Linked DNA regions of Sus scrofa. The protein of the gene in region 7 interacts with the protein of the main gene of each other region in a pairwise test. Links are inferred from orthologs where the notes say so. Each region holds a gene or a part of one and is shown on either strand. Other genes may lie near its edges. The genes, in order: GOLGA2, RIBC2, SH3YL1, SMARCB1, PDZK1, KIAA0408 and GFAP.

The links.
Region 1: the proteins of GFAP (region 7) and GOLGA2 interact in binary tests that used the Homo sapiens proteins (3 or more experiments, as listed by UniProt). The two-hybrid records come from large-scale screens. The link is inferred for Sus scrofa from reciprocal best matches to the Homo sapiens genes GFAP and GOLGA2.
Region 2: the proteins of GFAP (region 7) and RIBC2 interact in a two-hybrid assay, tested with the Homo sapiens proteins (2 studies listed by BioGRID and IntAct). The two-hybrid records come from large-scale screens. The link is inferred for Sus scrofa from reciprocal best matches to the Homo sapiens genes GFAP and RIBC2.
Region 3: the proteins of GFAP (region 7) and SH3YL1 interact in binary tests that used the Homo sapiens proteins (3 or more experiments, as listed by UniProt). The two-hybrid records come from large-scale screens. The link is inferred for Sus scrofa from reciprocal best matches to the Homo sapiens genes GFAP and SH3YL1.
Region 4: the proteins of GFAP (region 7) and SMARCB1 interact in binary tests that used the Homo sapiens proteins (3 or more experiments, as listed by UniProt). The link is inferred for Sus scrofa from reciprocal best matches to the Homo sapiens genes GFAP and SMARCB1.
Region 5: the proteins of GFAP (region 7) and PDZK1 interact in binary tests that used the Homo sapiens proteins (3 or more experiments, as listed by UniProt). The link is inferred for Sus scrofa from reciprocal best matches to the Homo sapiens genes GFAP and PDZK1.
Region 6: the proteins of GFAP (region 7) and KIAA0408 interact in binary tests that used the Homo sapiens proteins (3 or more experiments, as listed by UniProt). The link is inferred for Sus scrofa from reciprocal best matches to the Homo sapiens genes GFAP and KIAA0408.

What each region holds. Positions count from the first base shown.
Region 1 is NC_010443.5:268,710,156-268,713,655, forward strand, and holds part of GOLGA2 (golgin subfamily A member 2), read right to left. Parts: intron 3,195-3,500; coding exon 3,135-3,194; intron 2,941-3,134; coding exon 2,860-2,940; intron 2,059-2,859; coding exon 2,020-2,058; intron 1,779-2,019; coding exon 1,716-1,778; intron 1,627-1,715; coding exon 1,533-1,626; intron 1,433-1,532; coding exon 1,326-1,432; intron 30-1,325; coding exon 1-29. UniProt on the Homo sapiens protein: Peripheral membrane component of the cis-Golgi stack that acts as a membrane skeleton that maintains the structure of the Golgi apparatus, and as a vesicle thether that facilitates vesicle fusion to the Golgi membrane.
Region 2 is NC_010447.5:3,973,225-3,977,211, forward strand, and holds the start of RIBC2 (RIB43A-like with coiled-coils protein 2), read right to left. Parts: upstream 2,801-3,987; 5' UTR 2,591-2,800; coding exon 2,477-2,590; intron 1,688-2,476; coding exon 1,606-1,687; intron 1-1,605. Other genes in the region: SMC1B (structural maintenance of chromosomes protein 1B), read left to right, coding at 2,933-3,041. UniProt on the Homo sapiens protein: Microtubule inner protein (MIP) part of the dynein-decorated doublet microtubules (DMTs) in cilia axoneme, which is required for motile cilia beating.
Region 3 is NC_010445.4:132,708,836-132,712,335, reverse strand, and holds part of SH3YL1 (SH3 domain-containing YSC84-like protein 1), read right to left. Parts: intron 1,918-3,500; coding exon 1,805-1,917; intron 937-1,804; coding exon 808-936; intron 1-807.
Region 4 is NC_010456.5:49,892,544-49,896,043, forward strand, and holds part of SMARCB1 (SWI/SNF-related matrix-associated actin-dependent regulator of chromatin subfamily B member 1), read right to left. Parts: intron 1,373-3,500; coding exon 1,245-1,372; intron 1-1,244.
Region 5 is NC_010446.5:99,642,085-99,645,584, reverse strand, and holds part of PDZK1 (Na(+)/H(+) exchange regulatory cofactor NHE-RF3), read right to left. Parts: intron 3,430-3,500; 5' UTR 3,423-3,429; coding exon 3,213-3,422; intron 2,442-3,212; coding exon 2,195-2,441; intron 51-2,194; coding exon 1-50. UniProt on the Homo sapiens protein: A scaffold protein that connects plasma membrane proteins and regulatory components, regulating their surface expression in epithelial cells apical domains.
Region 6 is NC_010443.5:35,766,560-35,770,059, reverse strand, and holds part of KIAA0408 (uncharacterized protein KIAA0408 homolog), read right to left. Parts: intron 3,165-3,500; coding exon 2,805-3,164; intron 2,718-2,804; coding exon 2,638-2,717; intron 324-2,637; coding exon 1-323.
Region 7 is NC_010454.4:18,462,781-18,466,280, reverse strand, and holds part of GFAP (glial fibrillary acidic protein), read right to left. Parts: intron 2,372-3,500; coding exon 2,286-2,371; intron 1,291-2,285; coding exon 1,249-1,290; 3' UTR 1-1,248.

The DNA.
Region 1 (3,500 bases), on a different chromosome or scaffold from region 7:
TCTCGCTCTTTGGTTAATTCCTTGTTGTACTGCAAAGGCGGAAGGCTGAGGTCAGGAAAACAGACTAACGGCAGCAACAGTAACTCTCAGCAACGTGTCCTCACCTGGTGTCACACTTTACATGTTTCCAAAGCCCTTCCCAAGTTCACGTTCGCATTCAGTTTTAACAGGAACTCGGGAAGAGTGGAAGAGGTGGGTGGAGGGTCTAACTCCCGGCTGGCTGGCTCCCAGGCCCGGGGCCGGCAGGTAATACCACCAGCTCTATCACCGTTACCGTCACCAGGTCTGAACCTTTTCCAGCACTTTCCCCTTTCAGCCTCATAATCACCGTGGGAGGCGGTTACTATTACTGCCTCCATCATACAGGTGCCCAGCACGGAGTAGCAGAGAGCAAGTGGCTCCCCCAAAATCACCCAGAGCTGGGACCAAGCTTCCAGGTCTGTTGGATTCCTTTGTTCCTTTTTAGGGCCACACTCGTGGCATGTGGAAGTTCCCAGGCTAGGGTCAAATTAGAGTTGCAGCTGCCAGCCTACGCCACAGCCACAGCCAGGTCCGAGCCGCATCTGCAACCTACGCTGCAGCTTGCAGCAATGCCGGATCCTTAACCCACTGAGCGAGGCCAGGGATCGAACCCACATCCTTATGGATACCAGTTGGGTCCTTAACCCGCTGAACCACAACGGGACCTCCCAGGTCTGTCTGATTCTTTAACCACGTTTTCTCCCTGGGGTGGGGGGGTGCATTATGAGGGGGATTGAACTGTATTGTGAGCTTGTGTTCATGGTTTGAGTGGATGGTACCTCTGCAGAGCCCCAAACTCAGAAGGTTCAGAAGTGACAAGTCTCTCAGCCACCCTGTTCCTCCCCACCAGGTTGCTGTGAATCCCTCCCCACATGTCTGAATACATCACACACGCGTGCGTCTCCCCTCTTTAGTTTGGCAACGTACTAAAAATACCGTCATGGACCTTCACAGTCCAAATACCTAGCATGGGGGCCAGGGCCCACAGCCAGGCAAGGGCAGGGCTGGCACTCGGACTCTGAGCTCTGCATCCAGGGCTCACACTAGACAGCACCTCCACTGTGACTGCACTTGCGTGCACGCCCACACACACACACACACACACACACCACACACACACGGGCAACTGGCCCATGGCAACCAACTCATGCCTGGGTTGCTTCTATCAAGCACACGAGTTTAGAGCAGCGGGAAGTGGCCAGTGCCGCCTTCTGGGCAGCAAGTCACCCCATCCTGTGGAAGGGACCTCTGGGCTCACTCGCCCTCCACTACACGTCCGGGGAGGGCTAGGCTGCCGGGCTCACCCTATCGGCCTGCTTCTGCTGCGTGGACACGGCAGACAGCGTCCGCTCCAGCTCGCCCACGCGCTGCCTGGAAGACTGCAGGCGACTAGCCAGATTCTCCGACTCTCCTGAAAGGACGGCGTGAGAGGTGAAGCCCGAGGAAGGACTCCCGCTCCAGGCCGGCCAGCGTGCCCGGCCCAGGGGGTCACAGGGCACCCAGGTTCCCACCTGCTTTTTGCCGGGCTGCCTGCTGGGTGTGAGCCAGGGCGGTCTGCAGTTCCGTCTTCTCAGACACTAGAATCCCGATGGTCTGGATGTGGACCTGTGGGACAAAGGCCGAAAGGGGGGCTTGAGAAGCAGCAAAGTCACGTTTCCCGGAGGCCGCGAGGGAACCCGGCAGGATCCACTCACCTGCAGTTGTTCTCTCAGAGCCCCTTGTTCCTTCGCAAGCTTCTGCTCAAATTCCTTTTTTTCCTGCGGGAAGAGAGGAGAAACAGCTCTCACCTGGAGGAGGTGCCCCCCAGAAAGCCACCACTGGCCCAGGACAGTCTCACCAATGAGAACATATAATCGGGGGTGAGGGAGGGGTGGCGAGGGCCAGGGAGCCCCCCATTTCTCCGGGCTGCGATCAGGCGCGAGGAGAACGGGCCTCTACGTCTCAACCCTCCCCCGAAGCCACCAGCCGTGAGGGGGACAGACACAGAAATCACGTTACTTTTTCCAGTTGATCCAGAGTTTCCTGGTTCTCTTGTTTCTGTGGGGAAGAAGCAAAGGGAGGAGACTGAGGTCGGCCCCCTTTCCCACAATCCTCAGACCAAGGAGGAGGGCTGAGCAGGGGCCGGGGGTGGGCTTCAAAGGAGGAGCTGCTGGGGACACGAAGGGGCCATCGCTTCTCAGCCAAGAGACTCTGGGTCTTGGGAGGTGGGGCTCACAGCTACAGAAGCCAAGGGTCTGAACCTGATTCCCTTGCGAGGACAAGGACATAAGCCTCTCGAGCTGGAGTGTGAGAAGGGAGCGACCACATCCTCCGCCAGCTCGCAGTCTGGGAGGCTGCATCCGCTCAACACGCACATACCACGGGCTGGGGTGTTCTTACCAGCAAGGATATAGGAATGAGAAGGACCTTCAAATCTTTGATTTTTTTTTTTCTTTTTTTTCCAGCTCAAAGGGACCTTGGACGCCCTCTAATTCTACCTCCTAAAGCCCAGGGAGGACAGGTGACTTGTCCAAGGTCAAAGTTGGAGCGAATCAGGGGCTGAAGCCGGGGCTGGGACACCCTTGTCAAGCTAGTGTTACCCACAGAGGCACCAGGCCCAGGGCAAGGGGGGGGAGGACTCAGCAGGGGCGTCTGGAGAACAGAGGAGGCAAAGAGGGCAGCCACAGAGAGAGCCATGCTGCATGCCGCACTCCCGGGTCCCTCTCACTGCAACCTGGGCCCCCGGCACCCCATTCTCCCTCGGTACCAGGGGCCCCCAGCCCCTTTCTTCGGAGCCCCAAGGTGGAACTGGAGCCCCAGATTGGCAGCGTGGAATCGGGGACAACACTGGACTCTTACCAATTCCTCTATCTTGCTACTGAGTTGTTTGTTTGTTAGATTGCTGGAGTCCAGGGCTAGTGATAGTTCGTGGTACCGGCTCTGAGGCGCATGCAGAGAGGAGGAGGAGTTGGAGGAGGGTGGGGGGAGAGGTAGAGAGAGCAATCATTAGGGTCGGGGGGTGTCTGAGCTGTCTCAGCTGGCAGTGGGGAACCTAGCCCCCGCTGTGGGAGGAGGGGGGGGGCGGGAGGTGGCTGACCTGCAGGGTCACGGGGCCACGGTCCAGGCCCACTTACCTCCAGCTTCTTTATGTTAGCAGGAGATGCTAGGCCCTCCCCATTGATATAAGGTGAAGACTAGAAGAGATGAGAGGGCTCACATGGAGACGTTCTCCGTCCCCCTCGAGGCCTAAGCCCTCCGACATCCTGTCTTGCCCATCGACTGGCAGCATTTCCTTTTCTGCCTAAGCTGGTCCCCTTCCCCCTGCTCAAGCCCTCTGTGCCAGCTTCTCTGTGTCCCTCCCTCCCAAGCAGCTCCCATCAGCAGGACAGAACGGTGGAACCAGTCTCATGGTCCAACCCCTTCATCTGTACAGCTACAAAGAGGAGACTCAGGGAAGTAATGATTAGCTAAACATCGTCCAGCCAAGCTGGCCGCTCCCA
Region 2 (3,987 bases), on a different chromosome or scaffold from region 7:
AATTCATATAACAAAACACTATAAAGCAATTAAAATGAATATTCTGTATGTAGATCACTGATTAATTCCAAAATAGACCATTGAATTTTTTAAATGTTGCAAAAGGATATATCCAGGGAGTTCCCTTCGTGGCTCAGCGGTTAACGAACCCAGCTAGGATCCATGTGGATGTGGGTTCGATCCCTGGCCTCGCTCAATGGGTTAAGGATCTGGCATTGCTGTGAGCTGTGGTGCAGGCTGAAGACGTGGCTCGGATGTGAGGTGGCTGTGGCAAAGGCAGGCAGCTGCAGCTCCAATTCCTAGCCTGGGAATTTCCATATGCTGGGAGTGAGGCCCTAAAAGCAAAAAAAAAAAAAAAGTATTCTTAACGTAAGATATCTAAAGCCAGGTTGGCAAAATGTTAACATCTAATCGGTGGTGGGTATGTATTACGTCTGTTATATCATTTTTCTAAGTTTGAATTACTTTTAAACTAGATTTTTTTTTTTTTGTCATTTTCTTGGGCTGCTCCTGCGGCATATGGAGGTTCCCAGGCTAGGGGTCGAATTGGAGCTGTAGCCGCCAGCCTACGCCAGAGCCACAGCAATGTGGGATCTGAGCTGTGTCTGCAACCTACACCATAGCTCACGGCAACGCCGGATCGTTAACCCACTGAGCAAGGTCAGGGATCGAACCTGCAACCTCATGGTTCCTAGTCGGATTCGTTAACCACTGAGCCATGACAGGAACTCCCTAAACTAGAATTTTAAAAGATGAAAGGTTTAGAAAATATGAAACATTATAAAGAAAATAAGCTTCACTCATCATGCCATCACTCCAATTTTACCACTGCTAACATGTTGGTATATTTCCTTTCTGTGTTTTTCTAAGTATATTTTTACATTTTTTAAAAGTTATATATATATATTTAAATTTAGTTGATAACTTTTGTATATACAATTTTATATGCTTTTTTCTATTTAAAAAATCCTTGGAGTTCCCTGGTGGCTCAGCAGGTTAAGGATCCAGCATTGCCACTGCCGTGGCTCATGGCTCAGATCACTGCTGTAGTGGCATGGGTTTGATCCCTGGCTCGGGAACTTCCACATGCTGAGGCTTGGCCAAAAAAAAAAAAAAAAAAAAAAATCCTTATGATGCTTTAAAAGTAGCTGTTGGACATGATGGGAGAAAGGAATTTTATTTGAGAATTTGATCTAAGAGCTCAAATACTATTATTTGGACCATATCTGGTTCTGAGTCAGCTCAGGGGTGTGAGCTCAGGGGTGTGTGTTGTCTAGTGCAAGCAGCCATCCCCAGTAGAAGGTCTTGAATTTTCTGGCCAGGAAACATGTGCGTTTAAGATTTTTCATACTCAGTTTTTTAAGGAAACAGAGAAAAACATACATCTATCCTCATAATATATTTCCTACAGCTCACAGAGAATTCAATAGCTGATTTTCTTTTAAGTGATGGAGAATCAGCACATTAACTCAAGCACAAGAAATTGTGACATTTTAAAAGGAGGAAGAGCTTGAAAACAAATTTGTACATATGTGAGGAAATAAGGTGAGGGGTCTAAAGGGTGACAGCCCTGAACCACTAAGTGGCCATGCAGGGGACACTCACCAAATGTTTCCTGTCTAGCTTTTTCCGTTGCTTCTCTTATCTTCTGGTCACAAACCTGTACGTTCCAGGCATCTATGTCTCCCTGGGAAAGGAAAACCAAGGGAGAGAAGTATAGCCGGATAATTTTATTCAGTTAATAACTCTCCTACTTATCTTTTTAGATCAGAACTTTTCATACTCTGATGCTTTTGAAGAAGTTAGTTCTTCAGCCTGTCTTAACTTTCCCCAAAGTTCCTTCTCCCTTTCTTAGTCAATAGATCCTCATTCTCAGAACACTACTTGGGCATCACCTCCTCTGGGAAGCCCTCTCTGATTCCCTCTCCCAGCCTCAACTGGTGCTCCCTGGCACCCTGCGCTCTTTTCCCTGGCAGCCCTGGCTCCACTGCATTGTAACGAGACCATTTACTGCCTGCCTCCTCCACTGGGCTGTGAAGGTCAGGACTGCTTTATTCCTCATCTCCTGGGCCCAGCTCAGGCCTGCCACAAAAGACGAACTCCACTGGCATTTGTCAAATGAATGGAGTGGAAGGAGCTCCTGGCAATAGAGAAAATCTGGCTCAGAGAGAGGAGAACTGTGTCCAGTCTCTTTTTCGGCCACTAAATCCAGCAAGCCCCCTCCCTGCTGCAGGACTCAATTTGCCTGCCTGGCAAGAGATAGGGGGCATTATTCGGTCTGTTCAGGTCTCTCCCATCCTCAGCAAAGTCAGTACATCGAACTATTCTTCCAGGCAAGGCCTGGAGCCGTTTGCAGCTGTTCCTGGATCAAAAGTTTCACTCCAAGGATTTGTCTGCTCTTGCCTCCCGCAGCCCGCCTCTCGCGCCCCTCAGCTGCCCCTGTTGGCCCTTTCCATTCCGGGCTGAAGGGGCTCACCCCAAAGATCCTGTTCCTGGCATTGAAGATCCGTTTCTGCCTGCACAGCTCTGCATGTCTCTTCTTGGCCTGGCCAAAGTCCTCCTCCAGGTCCTTGGGCTGAGCTACCTCCATGACTGCAAAATCGCCCAGAAATTCCAAGAGGTTTTTAAAACATACGAGATAAAAAGAAAAGACGACAAAAATAAAACAAGCTCAAGCTAAGTGAGGCTGTTCCCTAGGAGCCTGGGCCGGTGGGATCCGCGCCTGCTCCAGAGACTTTCAGTCCATTCTTCCTGCCCTTCGACGGGCTTGTGGAGACCGGGTTCCCTCGGAAACGTAAACAACTCCGGTTGCTAAGGAACAGCGCAGCGCTCTCGCGTGTTCTGGCTTTAGTCTCGCGAGACTGCACGAGGCCCTTCCCGCGCTTTTCCCGCCGGCGTGTGAGGACGCCGCTGAGGCGCGGAGGGCGCAGCCATGGGCCATTTGGAGCTGCTGCTTGTGGAGAATTTCAAGTCGTGGCGGGGCCGCCAGGTCATAGGCCCCTTCAGGAGGTTCACCTGCATCATCGGCCCCAACGGCTCCGGTAACTTGGGAGCTGGAAGGCTTCCGGCCGTTCCCGGCGTCCGGGCCGGTTCTCCCGCAGGGGTCGTGAGGGTGGCCTCGCGGCCTGGACTCGGGCGGCTGCTGCCCCGCGGGCCCCGACCACCTCCGCTGCCCGCCCCTCGCCCTCCAGCTCGGGGACCGGGGTCGGGGCGACGGTCAGACTCTGCCCCGGGTTGGGGGGCGGTTGAAGGGGGCGGGGAGCCGGCCCTCGGCCCCCAGCGCCCCCCCCGCAGACCACACCCCCGGGACCCCCCCTCGGCCCCCCCCCGCTCTGCACCGCGACCCCCACCCCGGGGCCCCACCCTGGCCGCTCCTCGCGTCGCCCCCGCTCCCCTGCCCGGCGGTTTCTCCTCCTGCCCTCAGCCCCGTCACCTCTGCTCTCCACCCGCCTCCCTCTGTCCCCCCAAAAAGCGAGTGGGAGCGCGGTCTGGAGGAGGGAATTGGTTCCGGGGAGCCCGAGCCGCCGTGTGGTTCCAAGGAACCGGCACGGCGGTATCGGGACAATGACCACGTTTGTGGAGCTTTTTCCAGACTCGTGGCGCCGCCGTTTTGGTTGAATCCTCACCAGGGTGTATGATCCCCATTTCACAGTTGGGGAAACTGAGGTCCAGAGAGGCCATGTAACTTTTCCCAGGTTGCCCAGGAAGTGGCAGAGCCTGGACTGGAGCTGGGCCTGGCCAGGCTCCCCTCGGCTCTGGGATGGGAGGTAGTGGGGTACTGACCCCCCAGCAGGCAGAGAACGGCCTAAAAGGATGGTTCCCTGGGGAGTATTTTTTTCCCTAAATCTGGAGTCTCCTTTTGGCTCTTTTGGCCCAGATTTCCTTTCTTAATTCGGGAACCATATTTGAGTCAAGAGATAACTTGCCAAGTTCCTGTGGTGGCACAATGGAAACGAATCCAACTAGGAACCATGAGGACGTGGGTTC
Region 3 (3,500 bases), on a different chromosome or scaffold from region 7:
GAACTTTATGTTACCCAGACGGCTTCTTCGCTTGACCTCGGGAACCAGCCTGCCAGCTTCCAGGTTCTTTCTGCAGCTTCCTCCCCCGTCAGCCTTCGCAGCCCTGAACAGTGGGGCTCTGGCCTAAGGGAATGTGGGGCCGATGTGATCTCTCCAGACACTCCAAGTCCCTCCATGCCGCTCAAACGGTTGTTTCTTCGCATTCATGTCTTCCCCGGAGCAGCCCTTTTCCTTCCCCCCAAGACCTCTGCTCTGCGTGCACAGCTTGGCTCCCGTTTTGCACAAAAGGCTTCATGCTCAGCCTGTCTCAGCTTTGATCCGCCTTCCTCACTAAGCTCAGGCACTTCGAGCTTTTGATTAGAAATAAGAGATGTGGAGCCCTTCCTTCCACGTGGACACGTGGAGGTCTTTGCAGAGTGATACATTTCGATACCGCTGTGTCTCAGGGGATGGGGCTGCCTGAGCAGAGGGGAGGGAGCAGACCGCACACACCCGGCGATGGGCGAGGTTCTCCGTCCCATGCAGATGCAGTTCCTGGTGCCCAAACAAGCACAACAGTAACATCAAAGGTCACCGATCACAGATCACTCCAGCAGATATAATAATGAAAAATGTCAAAACATTGCAAGAGTTATCAAAAGGTGATGGAGACACACCAAGTGAGCAAAGGCTGCTGGAAAAATAGTGCCGACAGACTTGCCTGCACCGAGGCCCTCTGTACCCTCCTAAGAGCATATGAATTTATGAAGTAGTATGTTCTCATCACACACTCCTCAAATCAATTAAAATTATTTGCCTGGCACTTACTTTCGATTAGTTTCTTTCCGCTCGATCAAACAGCTACCTTCTAAAGATATGCCAGCAAAGAGGCCTCGTGATTTGCAATATGTAAAGACAGCAGCTGAGCTTCTTAGGGAGACGTTGCCTTCTAAATTCCTGCAAAATGGAAGGTTTTGCATCACAGGACTGTGGGCTCCAGCTAAAGGTGACTGCTTGACTAGACAGTACTCTAACCCCAAAGGACAGTCTTGCTCTGCACTCACTACAGTTGTTTTGACATGTCTTTCTTCCTGCTGGCCCAAGCTAGGTGTGCTCAAAGTCACCTAGAGGAAGGGCAGTTCACCGCCGGGACATAAGATGTCACAGAGGGCGTGATGCATTGCAGAGACCTTGTGTGAATTTCCTATTTTCAAGTCGTGTCTTCCTTTCCTGAGACAGGGAAACGTATCTCAAGAGTGAAAGACTGCCGTTCCTTTCACAGTGAGTATCTTCATGGAACGCAGAACATTTTTGAATGATTCTACTGTGTCACTTCCATAAACAGTCTGGGTTTAAAATACCTAATTGCTCAAGTCATTCAAGACTGTTACTCATTAATAATAATCAGGAAAATACACTGCGAGTATCGTGGACATCACTCCAGTGAAACACTTCAATTTTTCACAATTCAGATTGAAAAAAAAAAGGTTTCCTTCTTGATCAATGCTGCCCTTTCTCAGTTAAAACGGATTTGACTCGGCTCCTTCAGAGCTTACACAGGCATAGGTTATGTGCCGTTCCAGCAGATACACAGCCTGTATTTCTGAAATACTTCATTTCTTTCTGCGTGTGCTAGTTTCAGATGATCTCATTTTATTATACTTGGTTGTGTTTTATAAATTTCTTATTTGAAAGCAACCTCAAACTCCCTGGAAGATATATACATCATAACTATGCCTCATTCTAATTTTTCTCAATGTGACACAATGCAGTTTTGAGCCCTCACTGTCCAGTAGCTGCTCACCAAGGGCCCGAGAGCACTCACCTCCCCAAGGGCCCTACTGCCACGGTGCAGTTCCCGCCGAGCGTTAGGTTGCCACCTTTCGCAAAAGCTTCCACTGCTCTGCCATAATTCAGAATTATTACCAAGTCTGACACCTGGAATGTAGAGAACCATTTATTTTTAAATAATTTTGTCTAAATATGATTTAAAACACATGTTGATTAAAACTTGAATATGCTATATATAATGTGGCGAGCATTTCAATCTAGTCAGAGAAAGACTATGAGAGGAGAGTCTTATCTTTTTTCAGGTGAGGATGTGAGCAGCTAACATTCCCACAGGTAATCGGAGGCCGTCACCCCGCAGCGAGCAGGGGCACCTGCTTTATCTCCTCCCCAACCTGCGATGGAGGTGGCGGTGAGCACGGCCTAGTGACGTTAAGTGAACTGTCCCAGTGCCAACCAGAACGGGTCCAACACAGGAAGGTGGGAAAGAGCAAAAGCCCCCTCAAACAGTGCCCTTCGAAAAAGCCAAGCCAAAGAACGCAGAGGGCGGCCAGAGGCGGGGGCGCTCCCATGGGCACCCACGTCCCGGCCAGTCCACCTCCACCCCCCGGGGAGCTGCGCACTAATTTTAGGTCACATTCCAACTATCGGGAAGAAGACTAGTTACCATTCGTTATGCCTGCTACCAAGAATGATTTCTCCAAGTTAGAGCAAAACTAGAATGAGTTCATGCTCTTGGCAGGTGCCCATGGAGAAAGCATTTTCTTCAAAGTCATTGCGCTGTGACAGGACCGCCAGAGGAGAGGCAGCCTGGCCAGGTTCTGGGGCGACAGAGGCGAGAGTGTCAACCCAGCTCTCTTGCCAGCACGGGGTGACCCGGGGTCTGTGGCTGCCTTTGGCCCCCTGCCTTCTCACAGCTAAAGCCTACAAGGAGACTGGCCCCCGTGAACCTCCGTGAGGGTCAGGCCCCCGTGGCAGTGCCTGGAGAATGCTAGGCTGGGAAGCTGGGCTCAAAATCCAAACCATACCCAACTTCCAAAATCATCTGGGTGTGAATTCTACTTCTGCCTCTTGAATATTGTGTGACCTTGGGCCAATGACTGAGCAGCTCAAAAGCCTCAGTTTCTTTCTCTGTAAAATGGGTATAATAATAGTAACCACCTTTATAAATAAATATGTATTTGTATACGTATATGCAGCATTTATATCATTCTTTTTTTTGGGGGGGGGTCTTGTGTCTTTTTAGGGCCGCACCCACAGCATATGGAGGTTCCCAGGTTAGGGGTGGAATCGGAGCTGCAGCTGCCGGCCTACACCACAGCCATAGTCACGCCAGATCCGAGGTGCATCTGTGACCGACACCACGACTCACAGCAAAGCCGGACCCTTAACCCACTGAGCGAGGGCAGAGATCCAACCCACAACATCACGGTTCCTAGTCGGATTCGTTTTCATGGCGCCACGACGGGAACTCCATTCTTTATCATTTTTAAAGTGTTTTCAAATTGATGTTTTTTCATCTGACAGAAGAATCTAATTATTACCAAAAGTGATTGTACTTGGAAGGGCCCAGTGGAATTTCTGACACAGTTTAATTTGAATCATTTCATGAAAAAGTACACTCAAGTTCCATAGGACAGACTAAAAATGCCAGTTAACTGACCCATGCGAAACATTTCACTGTGACTCATGTCAACTGCTATTTCCATTTTATACATGGAATATTTCTAAGG
Region 4 (3,500 bases), on a different chromosome or scaffold from region 7:
GCACATTTCCTCACCAGGCAGCTCATCCTTTCCAAAGATGCCAACCCCCTGAAGATGTTGCCACATTCCACAGGCACCCCAATCAGCTCCCTCTCAGGTCCTTCTCAGAGAGCTCATCACTGAGAGACACCTTCTACAGGTGAGGCTCAGACTGAAGAGGACGACACAGTGGTTCATTCAGGCTGCCCCACCAGTGCCCTGTACACTGCTAAGCCCTCTGCGTGAGGGTGCTCATGCCCACCAGTAGGTTATTTGAAACTTAAATTAGTACATTAGATAACACTGGTGAGTTTCTCATGATTCTACACTTTTATTCATTTAAAAATTATATTCACTATGTTTTTGTTTGAATATAAATAATATCTTTGTTATAAAAGTCTGTGAAATTCAAGAAAAGAAAAGCAGAAAAGAATAAACCCATGTGTAACCCCCCCCATCCCAGAAGCATCAAGGACTCTAAATGCCTGGGTGGGTGTCTGATCTCGGCTTTCCTTTCTACATCTGCAGAGCCTGGACATGAGAAGTCAGGAGAGTGGGCATCTGACCAGGACTCAAAGGACGAGAAAGGGAACTGGGGCGGGGAGAGAGTAGCCCTACTGACCAAGGAAGTGACAGAGGCTGTGGCATGCACACAAAGTGCTATGAAAGAAGGGAGGACATGTGGGGAGCCGGCCGGCTGAACCCATTTGAGGGGCATCAAGACCCTCGTCACACTCTGTGCACTGGTAGCCTGCATGCCAGGCTCCCCCATGCTCACTGGGGGAGGAAGGACCCAAGGTCACGTGCCCCGCCCATAGGAAACCATGGCAGAAGCAGGATTTGAACCCAGAGTCCACACCTTCCAAATCCATGCCATGATGCTGGGGTTTTTTTTGGATTTTTTTGTTGCTGTTGTTGTTTTTTAAGGGCCACACCCATGGCATATGGAGGTTCAACCTCCAGGCTAGGGGTCAAATCAGAGCTATAGCTGCCAGCCTCTGCTATGGCCACAGCAACACAAGATCCAGAGCCGTGTCTGCAACTTACACCATAGCTCACAGAAATGCTGGATCCTTGACCCACTGAGCAAGGGCAGGGATCGAACCTACATCCTCATGGATGATAATCAGATTTGTTTTCGCTGAGCAACGACGGGAACTACACCATGATGCTTTGAATGCTGTGTTCAGAGTCCAGGGTCCCCTTGATGGGTGGCAGGTGGGAAAGGGACTGTGAGCAAAATGGCCGTGTTGGCCACCACGTACCATTCATGTTCCAAGTGAAGGCATCCCGTAGCTTCTGCCCGTCGATCTCCATGTCCAGCCGGATGGGGACCAGCACCTCGGGCTGGGATGCATTCTCATGGATCACAGCTGGGTCATGGTCGTCAAAGCTAGAAAGGGAGGCAACAGCATGCTCAGCCAGGGTGGCTGGGGTCCCGCACCCTGACCAGGGGGGAAAGCCTGCTTCTTAAAGGGACTTGTCCACTATCAGCAGAGATGGGGCCAGCAGGGGTCCTGGGGCCACAGGGGCAGAGCTCTGACTTGGGCACTGGGACAAAAGATGTGGACACTCTCCACAAGAAGGGAGATTTAAGTACCAAGGCAGGCAGGACTTCCCCAGAAAGCTGTGGAAAAGAAACATGTTTCCAGAGAAGGAAGCACCTGAACAAAGGCCAAGGGGCGGGAGAGCTGAGGGAGTAGCCAGAGCAGCCATGGAGGATGCAGACCAGGCAGGGGAGTGGTACAGGGGTACTGGGAAGCGGCAGGGGTCCAAGCCTTCTGCTTCCATCCCAAGGGAGCTCAGGAGACTGTGAGCCAGGCGGTTGCCTGCTCACACATGGAGACAGGAGGGAAGAGCCAGGCGGGGGATGCACCCAAGGGCATATTCGGAAGACAGAAGGTTCCAGACATGGGTATGAACAAATAAACAAGATAAGGGGAAACACCCCCATGCCAGACACAATGGCCTTGGGAGACATGGTCAGGGGAAGGGGCAGAAAGGACTTTTTTTTTTTTTTTTTTTTTTGGTCTTTTTAGGGCGGCATTAATGGCATATGGTAGTTCCCAGGCTAAGGGTCTAATTGGAGCAGTACTGCCAGCCTACACCACAGCCACAGCAATGCCAGATCTGAGTCACATCTGCGACCTACACCACAGCTCACGGCAACACCGGATCCTTAACCCACTGAGAGAGGCCAAGGTTAAAACCCACGTCCTCATGGATACTCATCGGGTTTATTACTGCTGAGTCACGACAGGAACTCCAGAGTGGCCATTCTAATGGGAGGGCACTCGGAGAAGACATTCAAACACAGATGGGAAGGAAGGAAAAGGTGGGAGGGAGGAAGGTGGGAAGGAGAAGGGAGGTAGGGGTGAGCCTGCAGGTGCTGGCAAGAAGCGAGGCAACCACAAAGGCAGGAGCTCCGGGGTGGCCTTGGAGCGCTGAGAAGGCCTGAGGCGGGGAAGGCAGTGGGTGGCAGAAGATGGGGCCAGAGAGGGGCGGCCACCACCTGGACTCTGGCCTGCTGACATCAGTGTGATGGGCATCTGGAGGACCCACCCTGGCTGATGGGGAGCTGGCCAGGGATGGTCAGATTCTGGATACTCAGAAGGCTGGGCATGCAGAATCTACTGAGACTGGCTCTGTGGTGTGAGAAGGAGGAAGGGTTGCAGGGTTTGGGCCCGAGGACAGCGAGGGTGGGACTGCCGTGTCCCGGGATGCAGGCGGTGCATGTGGGGGTGCCCAGGGCCGGTTAGGGGAGAGCTCAGGGGATGGGAGCTTGCAAAAAGGCCTCCTGAAGACATCTAGGTCCTAAGTCTTAGAACCTGATTGTTTCCTTGTAGAGCAAATAAAAGGGCGGGGCTTACATTAGTGATTAAGAATCTTGAGAGAAGATTATCCAAAGGGGCCCTAAATTACATCACAAGTGTTCTTACAATAAACGGGGAAATCTCTCTCAGAGACACACACACACACACACACACACACACACACGGCAGGGGGGAGGGGGGGAAGGCCACATGACTATGTGGCCACTGAAGAGACTGGAGTGAGGCAGCCACCAGAACAAGGAAAGTGCCTGCCAGAAGTTAGACCAGCTCCCAGAGGGAGAAGGGCCAAGTGAAGGTCCTGGGATCCAAAACCCTGAGAATAAACTTAGGGGTTTTTTGGGAGGGGGGTACTGTTGGTTTGCTTGTTTGTTTTTGGCCCAGTGTGCAGCAGCTTGATGTGGGATCTCAGTTCCTAGACCAAGGACTGAATCCAGGCCATAGCAATGAAAGTGCCGAGTCCTAACCACTAGACCACCAGGAAGCTCCCAGACTTGTGTTGTTTTAAGCCACCAGTTTGTGGCATTTTGTGCCAGGAGCCACAGGCAGCTCACACAGTGAGTCACATGGACAGCATTTGAACCTGGCAGAGGAAAAGTCCGGGGACTGGGCCCAGAAACACTGCCCGAGGAGCTGGGGGTGAGGTCGAGCCAGGCTGGGCCACATGGGGCCCAGCCGTGCTGGAGGCTG
Region 5 (3,500 bases), on a different chromosome or scaffold from region 7:
CATAGCCACACCTTGAGGCTTTATATCAGTCATGTACACTCCCTTTTTATCTGAAAGAGAGTAGGAGGTAGACAAGCATCACAGCTCATTACACAGAAAGACCAACAGCAAAGGGTTTTCTCTCAATAAGATAAAGTTAGAACTTCGCATTTTAGAGCTAACTCAAAGAGCCTCTGGCTTCTGATCCAGAATTAAATTACAGCTCCTAGCACAAAGCTTGACACAGCCATTACTCAGTTAGGTTTTGTTGATTTGAACAGAATTTCTGGCTGTGATCATATAGTGGTTAGCACTTTATGTTGTGAATAAAATTTCTGAGCCCAATGAAATGCAAAGAAGAAATCTCAGGTGGCACTGGCCGCTTGAACCGGAAGGTACCCAATCATGCCTGTGCTGCATCACCACATCATACTCCCTGTCTTTGCATCTGTAGAATTAGAAGGCCTCTGCTCTATTCTGTCCTCTTTAGTTAATGCTGTCCCCAACGGTCACATCCCAATAGGTGATTAAATCTCACTGATACAGGCTAGAGAGGACAGAGGCCCAGGAGGAGAGGGCAGTATACACACACACACACACACACAGTCTTGAGTAGGTGGGGTGATTTAGGAGCTTCTTAAAGAAATGCTGTCAATTCTTTCAAGATACTACCATTTCAGCCTAGGCAAAGGGTAGCTTCATAACGACTAGAAAAATCATTTGTAAAGAAAAACAGTAGCTTAAATTCTGCTTCCTTAAACACTTAAACATTTCTCCTGCTACTGTGTTATATATTTGTCATAAAGAAAACAACTTCTCCATAAGCTAAGCTAAACCATTCACCACATACATTATACAAAGCCCAAATGAATAGAATCTGAATTAGAAAATTTTTTTCCATTTTACTGATAACCTCTAAGAAATGCCAGGCTTCCCTTGGCCACCTTCATCACTGTGTTGTAATAACTAACAAACTTGAGAAATACTTCTTATGGCTAGTTTATATGTCTCGCCACAGGTTAAATAAGCCTGCCTTAGAAATTATTTTATGTTTATTACTGGTCTGCTCTTTATAACTTACCAAATTATGACCCACTACCAGTGCCTCTCCAACACCAGAAAGAACGGAGAATGAACAGCATTAGAGATAGAATCAAAAGGCTAACACAGCTATGGTTGCAACCTAAACCCCAGTGAAACCATTAGAAAACTATGGTCAACTGAGCAGGGGTCAGCCTGCACCTCTGAAATTCTAGGAACAGAATTTCTAGTACTTTCTAAAAGGTTGGAGTTTTTCAAATCACTATATACCTCTCAGCTAAAGGTCAGGGAGGCACCTCAGAACTTGGCCACAGCTGAGGGTACTATGTAAATGCCACAGACAGGAGGGTGGGGGTTTTTTCAGTGCCCTCGGCAACTATAACAGTGTCCAATAACACAAATAGGTGTTCAACAATTTTTGAATGAGGAGCTCCCATTGTTGCTCACCAGAAAAGAACCCTACTCGTATCCATGAAGGTGTGGGTTTAATCCCTGGCCTCACTCCCTGGATTGCCATGAGCTGTGGTGTAGGTCCCAGATGTGGCTCAGATCTGGCATTGCCATGGCTGTGGCGTAGGCCAGTAGGTACAGCTCCCATTTAACCTTTAGCCTGGGAACTTACATATGCCACACCTGTGGCCCTTAAAAAAAAAAAAAAAAAAAAAAAAAAGGATCTTTGGAAAGACATAGCATACAGTAGAAAGTGACAGAACACTGTAAATCAACTATAATGGAAAAAATAAAAATCATAAAAAAATAAAATTTTCAAAAAAAAAGAGATAGTATTCTTATTCAGAAGTAGCTATTGTGAACAACCTCCTTTTCCTTGCCTGTTATTCTCTATCCTCCCCTCCACCTTCACTCTAAGGAAGCTGGAAAATAACAAAGGTTCACCAAGGGTTCCTCTGGCCTCAAATGCTCAGCCTAACAAACACTGGGGACAGGTGTACCCAGCATCCCCCCTAGCCCCCTCCCACTCACACAATACTGCTGTCCAACATTCTGATTCCTCTTTGCACAACTGTGCAAAGCATAGGAAGGGCCAGGGAAGGAAGGAGAGAAGCTGCTGTTGGATATCCATAGCAACTTGAAAAATTAGTCAAAGGAGTCGTTAACAGATAACAATATCTTTCTTCTGGAAAGCTGGTTGTCCATGCCTCACCCTCAGGCTCACCTTGGACAGTTTTCAGAGAAAAGCCATAGCTACTCCCCTCCTTCACCAGGTAGCAGAGCCGTGGCTGGGTCCAAGTCTGTGCTCCTCCATTCATCACAGAAGGTAGTTTCTTATCATTCAAACTCGACTCCTGACTTTGACCCAACTCTTTCAAATCTACTTGCTTTTTCATGGCTTTCTCATAGGAATCCCCATCCAGAACTAGTAAAGTCACTGAATTCCCACTCTTTCTGACCAGATCCACAACCTAGGAGGAAAAAAGGAAAAAGATAACTTTAACCAATAACCCTCTATCAATCACTGAAGGGTGGTGACTGGGGGGAGTGCTCACTATCTGGCTTGTTATATGGCTCTGGAGATTCCACTGGCTGACCCCTGACATCCAAATAGTTAGCGGAGTGCCCCAGCCATCTCTGCCCAGGCCCTCCCGAGATGCAGGTACACATGAAGCCGGGCCTCTAGCAATATTGTAACCAAGAGTGTAGCCCAAACCCAGCCCGGGGGACTTTTACTAGGACTGCTCCTTTCTAGGGATGGATGATTCCCTAGAGCACAACAGGTCTTCCAGGGTCTATGGAGACCGCATTCTATCATGAAAAGAGGCACCCACTCAGAGGCAGAGAGAACTGGGGTACGGCCAGACCCTCCCATATGTTCATTGCATGAACACAAGCTAAGTTATCTGAGCCTCTACCTCCTCATCTGTGAAATGGTAATATGTACCCCATGAGTTGGGATGAGGATTGAACAAAATAATGAATATGAAATTGCCTAGCATAGTTCCTGGCCTATAGCAAAATTGCAATACATATGAGACTTGACACTATTCAAATCTAAAAACAAGTTTTACAGTTCATGGTTAATTGTAGGAGACTCAATTTAGCTGGCAGAATACAGCCCTAAGGGTGCCCTGCCTTGCGAGTGGCAGCCAAGAAAGCTCCATTGACCCCCAAAACTATAGTCAGCAAAGAAGCAGGGGCTGAAGAGATTCCAAAAGAACCCCAAGTTTCCCATTTACCTGCATATGCTCTTTCTTGTCCACAAAGACACCATTGATCCTGAGAACTCTGTCTCCATCCTGCAGACCCGCCTTCTCTGCTGGGCTACCCTTCTCAACCACCCGGACCAGGTGGCCATCAGTGTCCTTCTCAATTCGCAGGAAGAAGCCATAGCTCTGCCCTTCCTGTTTAGACAGGTTACATTCTCGGGGCTTGAAGGAGGAAGCCATTTCTGTGCTGAAAAACAAACAGGCAAATCCATGGGAAAGAACATCAAATTGTGTTGATCTGTCCTCTATCTCCTAGAA
Region 6 (3,500 bases), on a different chromosome or scaffold from region 7:
GGGTCACCCAGATGTTGTGGTCTAAACTCTCCTTCAAACTTTCATGGGCTTGTTCAGAATATGAACTGGGAAAATTTCGAGATGTGCTTCTTGGAGGAGGAACTGGTGGAGTTTCATGTCTCTGCAGATCAATTATATCAATTCCACCCTTTTTCTTATAATTGTTTTGGAAAACATCAGTACAGCTAAGGTTCTTTCTGTTTTTTTGTTTTTCTTTTTCAAAATCGGTTGAAGGAATGCATTGGGTGCTGTTGATCATGTGATCTCCATGAGGCATATTAATTACATTTGGGACTTCCTGGAGAAAAGAATCTGACTTCATCCTAAACAATTGTAAAACACGGTATATTAGTGATAACCTCATTTATGATAAGCTCTTAAAAGACACTGTAGCTAAAACAATGGATTGTTATAGGAAAAGGAGTCAAAACTTCCTCAAACATCATTTTTATATAAATCCCCTAGTCCAAAATTTCAAGTCCCTTTTACTGCAAGATAAAGCCTGCCTCTGTGTTGTATTCAAGACTCTACATACATAGTCTGAACTAAAGATATTTTAACTGTGTCACTCATTTTTAAAATTACCTGAAATTTCACCTACCCACAGAGTAGACTGCGTATTGTCTCTTGGGTATCTGCTATTACAGTTGTCATTTCTATAGGTTTTCTTTTTCTTCTTCTTTTTTTTTTTTGCCATTTCTAGGGCCGCTCCAGCGGCATATGGAGGTTCCCAGGCTAGGGGTCTAATCGGAGCTGTAGCTGCCAGCCTACGCCAGAGCCACAGCAACGCGGGATCCGAGCCGCATCTGCAACCTACACCACAGCTCACGGCAACGCCGGGTCCTTAACCCACTGAGCAAGGGCAGGGATCGAACCCGCAACCTCATGGTTCCTAGTCGGATTCGTTAACCACTGCGCCACGACGGGAACTCCACTATAGGTTTTCTTTTGCCATTTCTGTACCTCTGCTTTGCCTACTGAATTCCTATTCATTATGTCTTCTGAGCTCAAGTCCCTCCTCATGAATTTGAAATAACATTATAAGTAGTATTGATAGAAATTTAAATCAAAGCACAAAGAGACATGAGGAACACAACATGGAAAGTGCTATTTGGGCCTGAAAGAAAAGTGACAATTTTTTTTTTTTTTTTTTGATGAGTAAAAGGCATAGAGACAAAGTGAGCTGCAGTGAAAATAGTGTGGCTATTCAAGGAACAGTGAGTACTTTGGATGGAATATGAAACAGAGTGGGAAGGATGATGGAAAATAAGAGAGAAACATAGGTCAAAGTGTAATGACTTTGAATTACATATTAAGGGATTTTGCTTTTTTCTAAAGGCTATGAAGTGACAGAACTTTATACCTAGTAGGGTTTGCAAGATAAAACTGGCAAGCAAGAATTTTTTTTTTTCTTTTCTTTTTTTTTTTTAGGGCTGCACCAGCAGCATATGGGGGTTCCCGGGCTAGGGGTCCAACCAGAGCTGTAGCCGCTGGCCTACACCATTGCCACAGCAATGTGGGATCCGAGCCACATCTGTGGCCTACACCACAGCTCATGGCAATGCCAGATCCTTCATGCACTGAGCAAGGCCAGGGATCAAACCTGCATCCTCATGGATCCTAGTCAGGTTCATTAGCCACTGAGCCACAATGAGAACGCCCCAGAATTTTCTCATTTACTAAAGTCAAAACCTAAGTGTAGCAAAAATGTGGGTTCATAAATTAGTGTTAACTAATTATATTGATAAATACAAATCATATTTATGTCTCTTCAAGTTATAGCTTATAAGAAAGTGCAGATAAATACTCAACAGAGAATAATAGGCAAAGGCTAAATGGGAGAGTGGAAGCAAAATTATGTATAAAACATGGTTGAGTAAGAAAATCTGTTGTAAATCAGTACCAAAATTCTCTCTGAGCTTCCAAAGAGCTAAAGAAAAAGAAGGGTACACGGTCCTGTAGCTTTCTAAGAGAAGTATACTGCCCCACTAGGAGATAAATGTTGATCCTAGAACAGTTCATCTTTTCTTAAATTGTAGAAAATACCAATTTATTTTTCAGCTTGGCTAAAACTTACCCTTTATATAGTTGTTTCTGAACTGCAGCACTTCATAGCACCGCATAAATGTGTGTACATATTTACAATACGTTGTTCTGAAAATATGAAGGCTTACATTATAGACATAATAAATCTAGAGAAATAAATGACTCAAAACATTTCAGCAGAACATCACTATACAATTACAACATCACATGTTAAATTCGACATCGTTTAGAGATGTATTTAACTAGATTAACCCAATATATGCTTCCACGGCCAAATATTCAACATTAAAAAGAACTCCATCAAAGTATACTTGTTAATTTATTATTTATTATTGTGAGCATAACTAAATGAAACACCAAAAAAGTAAAGTGTGCCTCATAGTCAGACTAAAAATTTGCTTTGAGAATTAGTGAACAGAGCCATATACAATTTAAGTTTTTATCTTCTATCTAGGGTAACAGATTTTAATAACATTATGAATTCCCACTAACAAAAGTGTTAGAAGCTAAAGGCGGTTTGGATTCATTAACTGAAAACAACATTCTTCTTGAGTTTTCAACAGAACAATCATCAGAGATGTTCCAGCCTACCTTCTGTGGTGAGACCGCTTTTGTATTTCCTCTTGAAAGCTGCATAATTCTTCACTAACTTTAGCAAGTTCTTCAAGAGCCTTCATAGTAGAAGCAACAACACGTTAGCTCTTTGAAATGTAAATATTTCTTTAGAAACAGTTCTAGGCCAGTCCTGTCTTACTTACTGTGTGGAGGGCTCCAGAACAGCTCTCACTCTCTTCAGAAGCCTTCAGGTCCGGCCAGGTCTCACCTTTCTTTTGGTTGTCTGAGGCCAAAGCATCTATAAACTCTACTTTGGATTTTTTGGTTGCTTTTTGTTCTTTACACATGGGCTGTCTTTCACTGAGTAAGCTCTGCTCCATTTTATCTTTTTTTCCCAGCCCATCCCTGTTATTCACCCCCATCAATTCACATTGTCCTGAACTGGGGTCATTTGGGAAGGATTCCACCATTTTATCCTGAATGGTCTTCTCACGATCGAAATCAGGGATCCTAGCACGCTCACTCATGTTGATTTTCCTTCGAAGCTTTACTTCGTGGCAGAGCTGTAGGGAAAACAAAGATAAAGATTTCCCCCAATCCACTTGGTCAATATTTTTTGATATGAAGCACACTGTTTTCAGTCCTCTTTGCCATATTACTGTGTACCCAGGGGATTAATGCTTATGCTTCCAAACAGTACTTTGAAAATCTGGATTAAGCTGAACAACTTTGGTGAACCATAAAGACTTTTAGTAGGTAAAAGCATGGGTGGTAATTTCTGTCTTCCTGGGTAGAAATCAACTCCTTCAGAAATGACACAAACCTGCATTTATATCTAGATGTCATGATGATATAGAAGCACTGTTAAAGAAATTGGAATGCCCCAAGTCAATGACTGT
Region 7 (3,500 bases):
CAGTGTCTTCACTCTGCCTGGGTCTTGGTTTCTCAAGCTATAAAATAGGATGCTACCTAAAACACAGGGGGGACATTTCGTATTTAACTAACAGGGGACTAGAGGGGCCTTGGCTTAGGGAAGGGCAGTGGTCACTGTGGGGAGCAGAGGGTCAGCCGTGTAGCAAAGGCTTCTCCTGTAGTATGTGCTAGAGTCAGGTGGTGGCAGCTGCAGGGGCTCACAGACCTGGGTGGGCAGGGGTTATGCAACAAGGAAAAGGACAAAGAACCGGGATAAAGTGGGCCCTGCCCCTACAAGCAGCAGTCTCTCTCTCTCCTGTTTCACCATCTTCAAGAGGATGAGTCACTTTCTTGAGTCCCACGACCCAGAGGCCAAGTGCATTTGCTTGCCCACAGCCTCCAACTCTGATGTCAAACATTATCCCAACTGCCTCCCCCCCCTTCTCTACCTGCCCCCCTCCAGCCTGTATGCGGGGAGTCCTCCTGGGCTTGACCTCTCTGTACCCACGCCTAGGAGCCAGGGCCCCCTCTACTCCCTCCCAGCACCCCTTCCCTCTCCACTTACACTGTAGTTCCCCCAAGTGCTGAGAACCAAGCTCCCGTGTGCCCACTGCATGCCCACATGGCAGCTCAGTGGGGCTGAGACACTTGAACCATCACTCAGGAGCCCCCTCTGTGATCTGGGCAGGCCAGGCATTCTGGTGGCAGGATAGCCCCACCCACCCTCAGACTGGTCAGGGTCAGTCTAGAAGAATAAGCCTCTGGCCAGGGCCTCCTTGCCTGTGGGGACCTCCCCTTCCTGCCTCAGAGTCTCTGTTTTCCTCCAGCAGCCTGAGGAAACTCAAAGGCCCAGTTCCCAGATACCCCCAGACACCTCCGGCTCTGGCAACAGTTGCCATGACAACAGGGATTCAGGAGATGGAGGGTGATTTATTAGGTCTCCCTGCTCTCCCCAACTTCTTTGCTCCCTCTCAGTTCTAACTCAAGCTGCTGGCCAGACCCCTTCAGGCTGCCGCCTGGGTTGAGTGTCCTGTTAGAGTTGCTGGGAGTGGGGGTGAGTGCTACCTGGCAGGCTTAATGCTGATGGCGCCTAGAGCAGCAAGCCGGCATAGATGGAGGGGGAAGAGGAGCAGCTGGGGGGGGTGGGAACGCGAGTCTGGGAAAATGAGCTAGCAGGAGGAGTGACTACCCCGACTCCTGCTGCAGGCCCCTCAGAGTGCAGGGCAGGGACTACCCGGTGTGTCCTGCCTCACACCACATCCTTGTGCTCCTGCTTGGACTCCTTAATGACCTGCAGGGGACAGAGAAGGTGCCACAGTTAGAAGCCCATACAGACTCCAGCTCCACCATGGCTAGGCTATGTGACTTTGGGCAAGTCCCCAGCCTCCATTTAAAAGGAGTCGCCATTGTGGCTCAGTGATTAACGAACCCACAAGCAACCACGAGGATGCAGGTTCGATCCCTGGCCTATCTCAGTGGGTTAAGGATCTGGCGTTGCCATGAGCCGTGTAGGTTGCAGACGCAGCTTGGATCCCATGTTGCTATGGCCGTGGGGTAAGCTGGTGGCTGTAGCACCAATTCAACCCCTAGCCTAGGAACCTCCATATGCCGAGGGTGTGGCCCTAAAAGGACAAAAAAATAAAAATGTTTTTTTTTTGCCTGGCCCATGGCATGTGGAAATTCCTGGGCCAGGGATCGAACCCATGCCACAGCAGTGACCTGAGCCACTGCAATGCCAGCACTGGATCCTTAACCCTCTGTACCATAAGGGAACTCCTTGGGGCCACAGGAACACCCCTGTGCAGGAGTCAGAGGGGCAATGAGGTAACACCAGTGAGTCTCTAGCACTGTGCCTGGCACGTGGTGAGCTGCTGTGAGATTAGCTACTGCTATTGCTGGTGTGATGGGGAGGGAGTTGTGTCCAATCCCCTCTTCCCATTCTTCTGGCAGGTTCCTTTCCCCAAGCAGGAAGTTGAAAATTGGGAGTGAAATCTGCTAACTTTAATTTTCTTTCTCTCCCTACCCCCAAGCCTGGCATGGGGGCACCTGGGTCTGAGGGTGAGAAAGGGAGAAAGCCAGAGTCGGGACCCCACCCGGTGACCTCGGCACCCAGGCTCCCTTTCGAACTTCCAGTGGAGGACCTGGGGAATTGAATTACATGCAGGTTCCTTCCCCTCTTCCAGAGCCTCCCCGGGGAGCCGCTGTGAGTTATTGAGCACCTATGTGCCAGTCCAGGCTTTCTTCCGGAGCCTGCTGGGGCCAGAATCTCGAGTCTGCCCTCCTCACCTCTCCATCCCGCATCTCCACAGTCTTCACCACGATGTTCCTTTTGAGGTGGCCTTCTGACACGGACTTGGTGTCCAGGCTGGTTTCTGCAGGCGTGAGGAAAGGAGGTCTCCGTGGGCTCTCAGGGCACTAGACATCCTCCCCCACCTCCGTTTCCCCATGAAACCCCCAACCATGAGTGCAAAAGCCTATCCAACCAGGCAGAGAGGGCCTGGGCATTTCCAAAGGGGCTGGCAATCTCCTAAGCCCCCACTGTGACATGCACGTACTGGCTGCTCTGTCCAGTGCCCTGTTCCATCCCTGGCCTGGCTGCATTTCAGCCCCTCTGTAAGCCCTTGCCTGGCCTGTGCCTGCCTGTTAACCTAGCGCTGTGCCAAGGAAGGAGCACGTGGGCCTTGAAGTCAGGCGGGCCAGGTCTCAAGTCTCAGCTCAGCCACATGACTGTGGGCAAGTTAGTTTACCTCTTTCAGCCTCAGTTTCCGCATCTGCAAAATGGGGATACTGGTTTCTACTTCTCTAGATGAGACTGAGGAGTCAGTTAACAACAGGCACATATTAGGGCTTGATACACATGGGTCCCTTTCCTGTCCCTCTTTCCCCTTTCCTACTTCTCTCTGCCATTTCTCTGGGCCCTAGTGACCCTTTTCTGTCTGGCTTTTGACAGTACTGCCTCTACCTGGTCTAGCTGGTTAATCCTTCTGATGTTGAACTAAGCCCTGGGACATGCATAGCTAGTGTTTGTAAATTTCTTGCCCAGAAGGAAAAAGACTTTTCTTTCCTTAGCTAAGAATCATTTGAAGGCCACATACAAGGAAGAAGTAATTTAGTTTTTACCCCCTTCAATGAGAAAAATATAACATGTCACATTCACTAATATTTAAAATTAAGAGCAGGGAGAAATTCCTGTTGTGGCTCAGCAGTAACGAATCTGACTAGGATACATGAGGTTGTGGGTTTGATCTCTGGCCTCGATCAGTGGGTTAAGGATCTGGCGTTGCTGTGAGCTGTGGTGTAGGTCGCAGACTTGACTCCAATCATGCATTGCTGTGGCTGTGGCATAGGCTGGCAGCTGTAGCACCAATTTGACCCCTAGCCTGGGAACTTCTCTATGCCATGGATGCAGGCCTAAAAGCAAAAATAAAATTAAATTAAATTAAGAGCAGGGAACATAAAGCTTTATTCACTCCAAGAGCAGCAGTCCAGGGAGAAATAATC